Linked DNA regions of Danio rerio. The protein of the gene in region 1 interacts with the protein of each later gene in a pairwise test. Links are inferred from orthologs where the notes say so. Each region holds a gene or a part of one and is shown on either strand. Other genes may lie near its edges. The genes, in order: fhl3a, hipk1b and mrm3a.

Region 1 (3,667 bases):
CTGAAAATCGAAAACAAGGAAATAGTTTGTTTTAAAGGCTTCCTTCCTTTTTTTCTCTCTCTCTCTCTGTTTCTCAGGAACCAGGAAGCTCGAGTATGCCGGCTCCACATGGCATGAGGGCTGTTTCATTTGCAACAGCTGTCAACAGCCAATAGGCTCCAAGTCCTTCATCCCAGATAAAGATGACCACTATTGCGTACCCTGCTATGAGAACAAGTTCGCACCACGCTGTACTCGATGTAAACAGGTCAGTGGTGAGAGAGATTTCATCAGCTTTAAAATAAGTAACCATGTGTTTCGAATCAGTTCATGCACTCATTCCTCCACAAAAAAAGTCCAAATTCTGACCTCATTTCTTCTTCCTGTTGAATATCAGACGCCGTGCTGGTCACTGATTAACTCTGCCTGTCAATTTCACATCCTGTCTTGACAGGCCACCATCTGTTTGGACTCTTGGCTCTATTGTTTTAAAAAAACAATCATTTATCTCTTGCTATTTGCATGTGAAACACAAGAGATTTTTTTTTAAATCTGGAAACAGTTAGTTTTGATTTTACCCAAAACTAATTAGAAAACGAATCTAGAATGTATGAAAAGATATTTTAAGTCTCAAGATTGTCTCAAAGTCTCAAAACTGATGTCTCAAATTCTTTGTGGCTGCTCAATAAAAGCTACATTTTTGTCTAAACGTATAAAGTACAAGTGGTAGTCCATTAAAGTGAATTTAAAGGTGTTGTTTTTTTAATGCTAATCAATTTAATGAAAGTTTAAATGTTACTTTTCCATCTTCTCCACTTCAGGCCTTGGCTAAAGGTGGTGTGACCTATAGGGATGAGCCGTGGCATAAGGAGTGCTTTGTGTGCACAAGCTGTAAAGTCCAGCTAGCTGGCCAGCACTTCACCTCTCGTGATGACAGCCCATACTGCATCAAATGCTTCGGAAATCTGTATGCTAAGAAGTGTGAAGCCTGCAATAAACCAATTACAGGTAAATGATGCAGTAGTGTCACTTTGTTTCAAAAACTGATGGTGGACTAGTGCTCCCACAACACTTGAAAAAAAAAAATACAAAAGGGGGTTTTCACATAGTTCTGGTACTGTAAGAAGCTTTTGCACAGGAGAAATGTTTTCATAATTCCTAGAAGGAACTAATTGCAGAAGTATCCCATATAGAAATCTGATATTGTATATGGAAATATTTGCAAATTAAATATATGACATACAAGTTCATTTTTGGGTTGCACATTTCACATAAAATATATGTAATATTAATAAAAATAATATAATTGGAATGTTATTATACTTTAATATTAAATGTTGAACTTAACATTCAACAGCTGTAGTTAAATAAATCAATGAAGGACACCCATGCAACAGAACTCAGATAAGCTCAGAAGAATCAAAGCTTGAAAGAATAAATTACGCGATTGTTTTCAGCAACAGGCTTCAGCCACTGTTTAAACTCATCTTTCTCCAACCAGGAGTACGCAAACTTACATTTTCCCATCTGTTTCGCTCTATGGTTGTGTGACGTGTACATGTAGAGGTTGTGTACATGTGGAGAGCGTCAAATCACCTTCTCGCGTTTGTCGCAAACTATGTGAAATCCCCCTGACGGAGAAGCTTGAACCAATTGTGTGGATCGAGCACACTGATTTTTAATATTAGGAAAAAAATAAATATATTTTTGCTTTTTTTATTGGAGTCAAACACTTTGGTCAACTTTTAAACAAAATGTAAGACCTTGTAGAAACATCATAAAGACTTTTTAATAGCTTTTAAGGGCCTTAATTTTCTCATTATTGATTTATCTAAATATACAAAAGATCTGAATTAATTAAACTGCAGCAGTTTACTGCTTTAGCTGTATTACACCCAGTTATGGCGAGTAGACAATACATCAGAGATGCACCGGCGTCATTTAAAGCAGGAGTTCCCAAACTTTTCAGCCTTCGACCCCTAAAATAACAATGCCAGTGACTCGCAACCCCCAGACTCCTTAGAGGTGGTTATAAATATATAAACGTTGTGCACACAATAGGCCTATTGACAACAAAAATAGTGCAACAGTCTAATAAACATATAGTTTTTATAGTCATTTATTAATTAGTTCAATTTAATATTAACCTTAACTAATGAGACTGGTGGACTCAGCACAAGTCTATTCTTGGTTTAATTTTGGAGACCGCCATATTTTAACATACATGTACATATTTGTCATGCCTGTTAAAACAACAACAAATCAACGGTTAAAAACGTGAATAAATAGCCATTTTTGCAATATTTTAATATTTATTTTATATGTGAAATACAGATATGAACTTGCATCTCATCTGTAATTTGCACACATTTCCATTTATCAGATATCTATATGGATACAGACTTTGTGAGTTTGCAGGAACTTTACATGGTTTTAGTTATCTAAATGCCCTTTGCTGGGGCTAAATCATTTTCCACTTCAGTAAAAGTTTCTTAAGTACAGTATACACAACAGACAACAAAAACACACCTCTGATCATGGCTGATCCTCCAACCTCCAGTTCTTGAATTTATGTTAGTGCCACACTTGAAGTTGCAGTCAGCTAGCTTACATCAATTTTAAGTTCCTAGTTAAAATGCAACCAGGAAAACAGTTACAGGAACTGGAACTAGTCACCATGGTGTCCCTCAAGAACTACATGTTCCATCTAGGGCAAATATTCCTGGTTTCTTTTGCACCCTCACTAGGAACCATGAGTTCTAAGCTGACAGACATCAACATCATTACACAGCATCAGCAGCTGGTGTATAGTGTTATCAGAGCCAATTGCATTTAGTTTGTTTCATTAATGGAGATGGAATGTTGACAAATAAGTTGTGATACAAAAATCTTTATGTCACTGTTAGTTCCTATCATGCATCTTGATTCCTGAGAACTAACCCGGTTTAAATCTCTCTTTAGGTTTTGGCGGGGGAAAGTACATCTCGTTTGAGGACCGGCAATGGCACCAGCCGTGCTTCACCTGCTCTCGATGCTCTGTCTCTCTGGTGGGAGCAGGCTTCTTCCCCGAGCAAGATGAGATCCTCTGTCGCAACTGCAACAGCACCCTATAGAATACAACCCTCATGCACATGCCTTACCTTCCTTTACACATGCACACACACACACTATTATACACTGCTGTGCCCTCACCCAAGAACTACCCATTTCAAGTAACGCCCATGCTGATACTGCTATTTAACATAACAGCAAACCAGCAATCTACCCCTCGCACAATCATCACAACCCTCAACATACACTTGCTGGTTTACAACTGGACAAACAAGACTTGATGCTTCCTATGCAACGCTGAGTTCAAATCCACCGCACAATCCAGTATCAACACTCCATTAATGTACAGGCCTCGATGCACAGATAAAAATATCTGATCTGCCTACTAGTTATCGCCTTCTTTATTTTTGCCGGCCAGTCAGAACTGTTATTAAGCTGGTAGTAGTCATTAATGGGTGGATGTAGTCTGTGTTTGCAGCCTGTAAAAGAACTCAAACAGATTCCTTCAGAAACACCCAAAGGTCAAAGGTTTGGTGTTCTGTTAAAGTGACCGAACATCCCATTTAGAATTGTTCCAAACACTCTGTGCCAAGCAAAGTGGTTAGAACGGCAATGAATGCATGATAGATGGTGAGTT
Region 2 (3,466 bases), on another chromosome or scaffold:
GTAAGGAATCTGCTATATTGTTTTAATGCAATTAAAGAGCATTTTTATTATACAAGACTAAATTAAATGTTTATTTATTTATTGCCACATTTGCAACTTATGGCTATTTTATGGCAAAATGGATATACATTAAAATATTACACACTTAATAACTTAATTGCCTAATAACTTGCCTAATTCTGAGAGCTTTCTCATTCTCCATATACTGAAACCATCTCACAATGTTCAAAGTCCTGGTCCAAAGACGTTCTCTAAGACTTCAGTAATCTAACTGTAATCATTCAGAGCACCAAGAACAATTTTGTGCACCAAAAAACTCTTAACATTTCTTCTTCTTGATGCAGGGCATCTCAGAGTGGTCAGCACAATGGTGTCGTCCAGCAGAACCCACATATCCTCAGCGGCATCAACCCCACTCATTCCCTCAATCGAGGAGCGACTACAGCTACTCGCTCGCAGAACAAGAGGAGCCGCATCTGCTGCGACACCAGCAGCAGGTACTGGCCCATTCACTTATTTCAAAGCTGCCTTTAATATGTTTAATTGCACATTTCAATCTGCATTTGTTCAGTCAGGGTTTTTTTATTGTGTGTAAAAAGATCAAACACAAGTGCTTGATTCTTGCCGTTTGGATTTAATATTAGAGATGAGCATACATTTCATTTCAAATTAGACAATTAATTTGTTTATAATTGAAACATGGCAAATGGAATGGGACGACTGCATAAATAATAAATTACATTAAATTAATCAGAAAATAATTGAAACACACTTTGCAAATTATAATTTTGAGACCAGGCATGATCAAACTGTCTATACTAGATGTCGAATTGGACATTCTAGGTTGACTCATTTATATTTACTGAATAACGAAGCACCACCTAAATGTAATTACTGCCAAGCTGCTCTTACTATGAAGCATATTTTGTTGGAATGTGAAAATTTGAATACCATAAGACAACATTTTTATAAGAAGAGTAGTTTGATGGATATTTTAAAACGGGTACCACCAGGATGAATCTTAAATTATTTATCAAAAGTTGAACAGAAAAATCATATTTAACTTTGAATATATTTTTGTGTGAATTTTATTTATTTCTAAGTAACTTTTTTTATTGTAATACGAATTTTTATATATATCCATTTTGCCATGAAATAGCCATAAGTTGCTAATTTCGCAATAAATAAGTAATAATTAAATAAATATTTTGAAGTTAGTCTTGTATAATAAATATGCTCTTTAATTGCATATATATATATATATTTATATTTATATATATATATTTATATATATATATTTATATATATATATATATATATATATATATATATATATATATATATATATATATATATATGTATGTATGTATGTATGTATGTATGTATGTATATATATATATATATGTATGTATGTATATATATATATATATATATATATATATATATGTATATATATATATGTATATATGTTATCTAAGGGTGGGCTATTTATTTGATTCTTTTTATTTAGTTTATTCTGTTTTTCTATGCTGTTGTTCCGATGTATTCCGCTATTGTTATGGTGTTCTGTATGCTGTTGTTCACATGTTAAAATAAATCAGCATTTTAAAATGCAATATTTAATGTGTCACTCAAAATGGACTCGTCAATTTTTTTTTTAAGTTTTTAAGTAAATAATAATTTAATATTAATCTGACCAGGTAACTGTTAATACTTGGTTAATGAGCGGTGGTTGTTGGTTGGCAAAATTAACCGAAGTGAGCATCCCTAATATATATATATATAATTTATTTTTATTTTTTTTTATGTGCAAAACTTTTATTCCTATTGGTGTTTTGTGGGATTGAGTTATTATTTTATTTTCTCCTTGAGGCTGTTAAATGTTTTTGTACTTACCTTGTGTGTGTGTGTCTCATCAGCAGTGCTCTGGTGGCCTCTCAGTCTTACAGCGCTCTTCTGACTCAGCCAATCATCATCTCCGACACCCCGAGTCCTGCAGTCAGCGTCATCACCATACACAGCGACTCTGAAGACGAGGATGAGCGCAAGTTTCACCCCGCCAGGTGACCACGCTTCCTGCTAACATGTTTTTTTTTTTTTTTTTGGAGTTCCTAGAAAAAAACAGAATATTAAATGAGAGAGTAGTGGATGTAGCTTGTTTTTTTTTTTATTTATTTACTTGAAATAATTTTACTACTAAAAATACAGATTTTGGAAGTAAGCATGTGTTTGAATCCTGCAGGAAACATATTGGTATTTTGTTTTTCCTGTTTTATGATTTTATCCTTGTGAATATTCATTATTTTATCTCTAACACTTTTCTCTTCTCTTTTGTAGCTGCGGCCCCAGCCATAGGACGAATGTGATCAGCTGTCTGACCGTTCACGATTCAGACTCCTCCACCGCCAGTCCTTTAACCCCCAAACCCCAGAACGGTCACATCGGGCTCCAGTCCTCACGACTGGCCAAATCTCTGGCAGTGGTGGCGCCGACTGTCAAAACACAGCCTGTGGAGAGCTCCATATCGGCCAAAATCCCACCGGCTCTAGGCAAGTACTCCATTTCTTGGTCAGTTATTTTATTTTATTCTTTTTATTTCGTGTGTTGTGATGGGCAGCATTGCCTTTTGTTTTTGTTAGTATTTGTTTTTCATTATTTGTTTTAAGTTTTTTTTTTCCCGTTTAGTTTGTTTTTCCATTTTTGTTTGTTTGTTTTTATTTATTTTTCATATTTGTATTTTGTTTATTTTATTATTTTTTGATTTTGTTTTTATTTTATTGTTTTTAATTTTTGTTTGTAATTTATTTTTCATTTTGAATTGGTTTTGTTTTAGTTCAGTTTTCGTTTTTACTTTGTTTCTTTTTCGTTTGTATTTTATTTGCATTCTTATTTATTTATTTTTTTCGTTTTGTTCCGTTTTTTTTTTTTTTTTTTTTTTTTTTTTTTTTTTTTTTTTTTTTTTGGAGGGGGGGGGGGGGGGTGTTTTTTGTTTGTTTGTTTGTTTGTTTGAGAAATATGTAGTAAAAAAAAACATTGGTTGTGTGTTTAGGTCTTCCCCAGAATTACTACATGAAGCCGAAGAGAGCTGCAGCTACAAGACATCAGAGCAGCTCAGGAGGAAGCATCAGTGAGCACCAACAGGAGCCCAGCAGATCTCAACCACTAAACCTCAGTCAGGTGAGCACAGAAGACCTGAGCTGTGTCCGAAACTGATCTTTATCCAATAAATACTAGTGATAAAAGAAACAAAGCTTCGAAAAACAAAGCGTCAAAACAATTTTATACAAAAAAAAAAATTTGTATAATGTTTAAGAAATGTATTTTTGTAATTTTGTCTTGAATATAACTCACCAATGTTGCTAATATGGCAGACTTAAACATGTTTTTTGTTTTGTTTTGCATTATCAATGCTTTTAACATGGGATTAAGACTTAAAAACTAACTAAAAGTGAAGAAATGCAAGTAA
Region 3 (2,458 bases), on another chromosome or scaffold:
AAAATGTGTTTTATAGTAAGGGGTTTTCACCTTGGAGCAAAAAACCATGGGTCATTCTTGTATGTCCAATACAACATCTGTTAAAAACCACTTAATCAAATCAAGTCTTAAAATGTCTTTAAATTTCAGGTTATATTTCACATCATTTATTATTTTCTAATGCTTCCCATTCCTCATGCCACTTGTTTAAAAGGGATTCTAATGGCAGTCTGTCATTGCTTCCTGGAAAAATACATTCCTCTGTAAAGAGTCTTTGTGTAATCTTTGACTCTGAGCTTAAATTTGATGGGCAAATTATTGCGGTTGTCGAAAATAGTTTTTTCTATTTTAGATATATTGCCAAGCTGAAGTCTGTCCTCTCTTTCAGTGACTTGGAGAAGGTTGTTCATGCTTTCATCTCTTCTCGTCTGGATTATTGCAATGCATTGTATGTGAGTGTGAGCCAGGCCTCTCTCTCAAAACTGCAGCTGGTCCAGAACGCAGCTGCCAGGCTCTTAACAGACACACAAAAAACGAGAACACATTACACCTGTACTGGTTTCTCTACACTGGCTGCCAATCCAGTTTAGCATTCAGTACAAAGTACTGCTGTGTGTTTTTAAATCTCTCCATGGGCTGGCCCCTGAGTATGTTTCTGAGCTAATTAATATACACCAACCTGTGAGATCTCTTCGCTCTAAGGATCATCTTTATTTGACAGTCCCACGATCACGCTTAAAATGTCGAGGTGATAGAGCTTTTCCAGTAGCAGCTCCAAGACTCTCCACTCTCCTAAAGAACAGCTCCAACTTTTGAGTCTTTTCAGAGATCACTGAAAATACTTATTTTCTTTAGCTTTTAATCATGTGATGTGGGTTTATGTGTTTTGGTTTTGTGTATATTTGCATGTGTTTTATGTACAGCACTTTGGTACCCATTGCAATTATATCCTGCTGCAGGCCCGCAGAACCACACACGTTTTAGGCACACACAATCTGGCACACACAATCTAGGCAAACCATATATGGTTACGACAGAAGTAAATGTTAGTAATGTCTTCTTGGACATAGTCATCGATATATTTTGATATGTATAGTCAATAAATATTGTGAACAATAAACAATAGTGTTTACTTTATTTTACAAATTTTGCGATCGAGACGGGCGAATGGGGAACAGTGTTTCCGATCGCCATTCATTATAATAGACTGAACAGTTTTCTATCAGTCATTATTGTCTGACAGAGTCAATATAGCAGATACTCGTTTGCTGGCCTTGCTGAACGATCTTGCCCAAATTGAACAAGTTTAATTTATATAATGGATTCATTTATAATGAAGGAAATAATAGCAAGTTAATATAGGCAATAATACCTTTTATATGTAATCAAAATCTTTTTACAAAAATGTATAACACGATATTAATATTTTACTCAAGCAATTAAATAGTTTGTATTTGCTTAATTTTCTAATAACTTTAATTAATGATTTCCCACATTAAATACTGTAGCCTAGTTATTTATATTAAGCAATACATTGTTTTTAAACCAAAATTTTGCAATAGAAACAAATTAACTATTCATAAATAATTAAAAAGTAATAATAAGTATACATATATATATATATATATATATATATATATATATATATATATATATATATATATATATATATATATATATATATATATATATATTGCATTTATATATTTATTTTATATAACTGATTTTGTCATTGATCTGCAATTATAATCAAGTCATGTTTATAGAAAGGTAAGTAATAAACATTTATACACAAGTATTCATGTGTATAAAGCATCTGTTTTGTGAGAAATGCTACTCTTATGATATGTGAACAACCCGTACAGCTTTACTGGGACATTTCCTTGAGTAAAAATGAAGTCATCTGAAACTTTCTGTTGTACACCACACCCACCAAAAGGGTACCCTTTTGGGAGTGGAAACGCAAGCTTGACAAAGGTGACCCGTACCGACCTGTATCGTACTATACCTCTCAGTGGAAACGGGCAATTAGGCAAGCTGTTTCAACCTCCTGCAACAAACTAGATTTTGGCCAGACTTTGTTCCAAATGATGTCAAACTGGTTTGTTTTTCAATAAAAACGTATGTAAAACACACCTTTGGATAGAAGAACACGGTCACAGCCTGCTGCTGCTGCACAGCGTAGAGTAGTTCCCAGATTTCCAGCGTCTCGTACATTGTCACATATCAGAAACAAAGGGACAGACTGAAGACGAGCGTCCTTTGGAAATGTCAGGCGGGAGGCATCAGGCTTTGAGAAAATAGCTGTGAATTTAAGAGAAACAATGATATTTTTTTGTTTTACTGTTTAAAAGAAAACTACATTTCGAAACCAACTCCAGCAACTGACCAATAAGACCCTGAGGAGTGACCAGGTCAGACCACATCTTGATGTCTTCATATTTGACCTTGATGAGCTTGGCTTGCTGTAGTTTGTCTA

What was found.
Region 2: the proteins of fhl3a (region 1) and hipk1b interact in binary tests that used the Homo sapiens proteins (3 or more experiments, as listed by UniProt). The two-hybrid records come from large-scale screens. The link is inferred for Danio rerio from reciprocal best matches to the Homo sapiens genes FHL3 and HIPK1.
Region 3: the proteins of fhl3a (region 1) and mrm3a interact in binary tests that used the Homo sapiens proteins (3 or more experiments, as listed by UniProt). The two-hybrid records come from large-scale screens. The link is inferred for Danio rerio from reciprocal best matches to the Homo sapiens genes FHL3 and MRM3.

What each region holds. Positions count from the first base shown.
Region 1 is NC_133191.1:36,956,093-36,959,759, forward strand, and holds part of fhl3a (four and a half LIM domains protein 3), read left to right. Parts: intron 1-77; coding exon 78-247; intron 248-800; coding exon 801-987; intron 988-2,940; coding exon 2,941-3,092; 3' UTR 3,093-3,667. UniProt on the Homo sapiens protein: Recruited by SOX15 to FOXK1 promoters where it acts as a transcriptional coactivator of FOXK1.
Region 2 is NC_133186.1:2,720,296-2,723,761, forward strand, and holds part of hipk1b (homeodomain-interacting protein kinase 1), read left to right. Parts: intron 1-344; coding exon 345-497; intron 498-1,919; coding exon 1,920-2,063; intron 2,064-2,337; coding exon 2,338-2,549; intron 2,550-3,049; coding exon 3,050-3,177; intron 3,178-3,466.
Region 3 is NC_133190.1:18,619,332-18,621,789, reverse strand, and holds part of mrm3a (rRNA methyltransferase 3A, mitochondrial), read right to left. Parts: coding exon 2,369-2,458; intron 2,284-2,368; coding exon 2,116-2,283; intron 1-2,115. UniProt on the Homo sapiens protein: S-adenosyl-L-methionine-dependent 2'-O-ribose methyltransferase that catalyzes the formation of 2'-O-methylguanosine at position 1370 (Gm1370) in the 16S mitochondrial large subunit ribosomal RNA (mtLSU rRNA), a conserved modification in the peptidyl transferase domain of the mtLSU rRNA.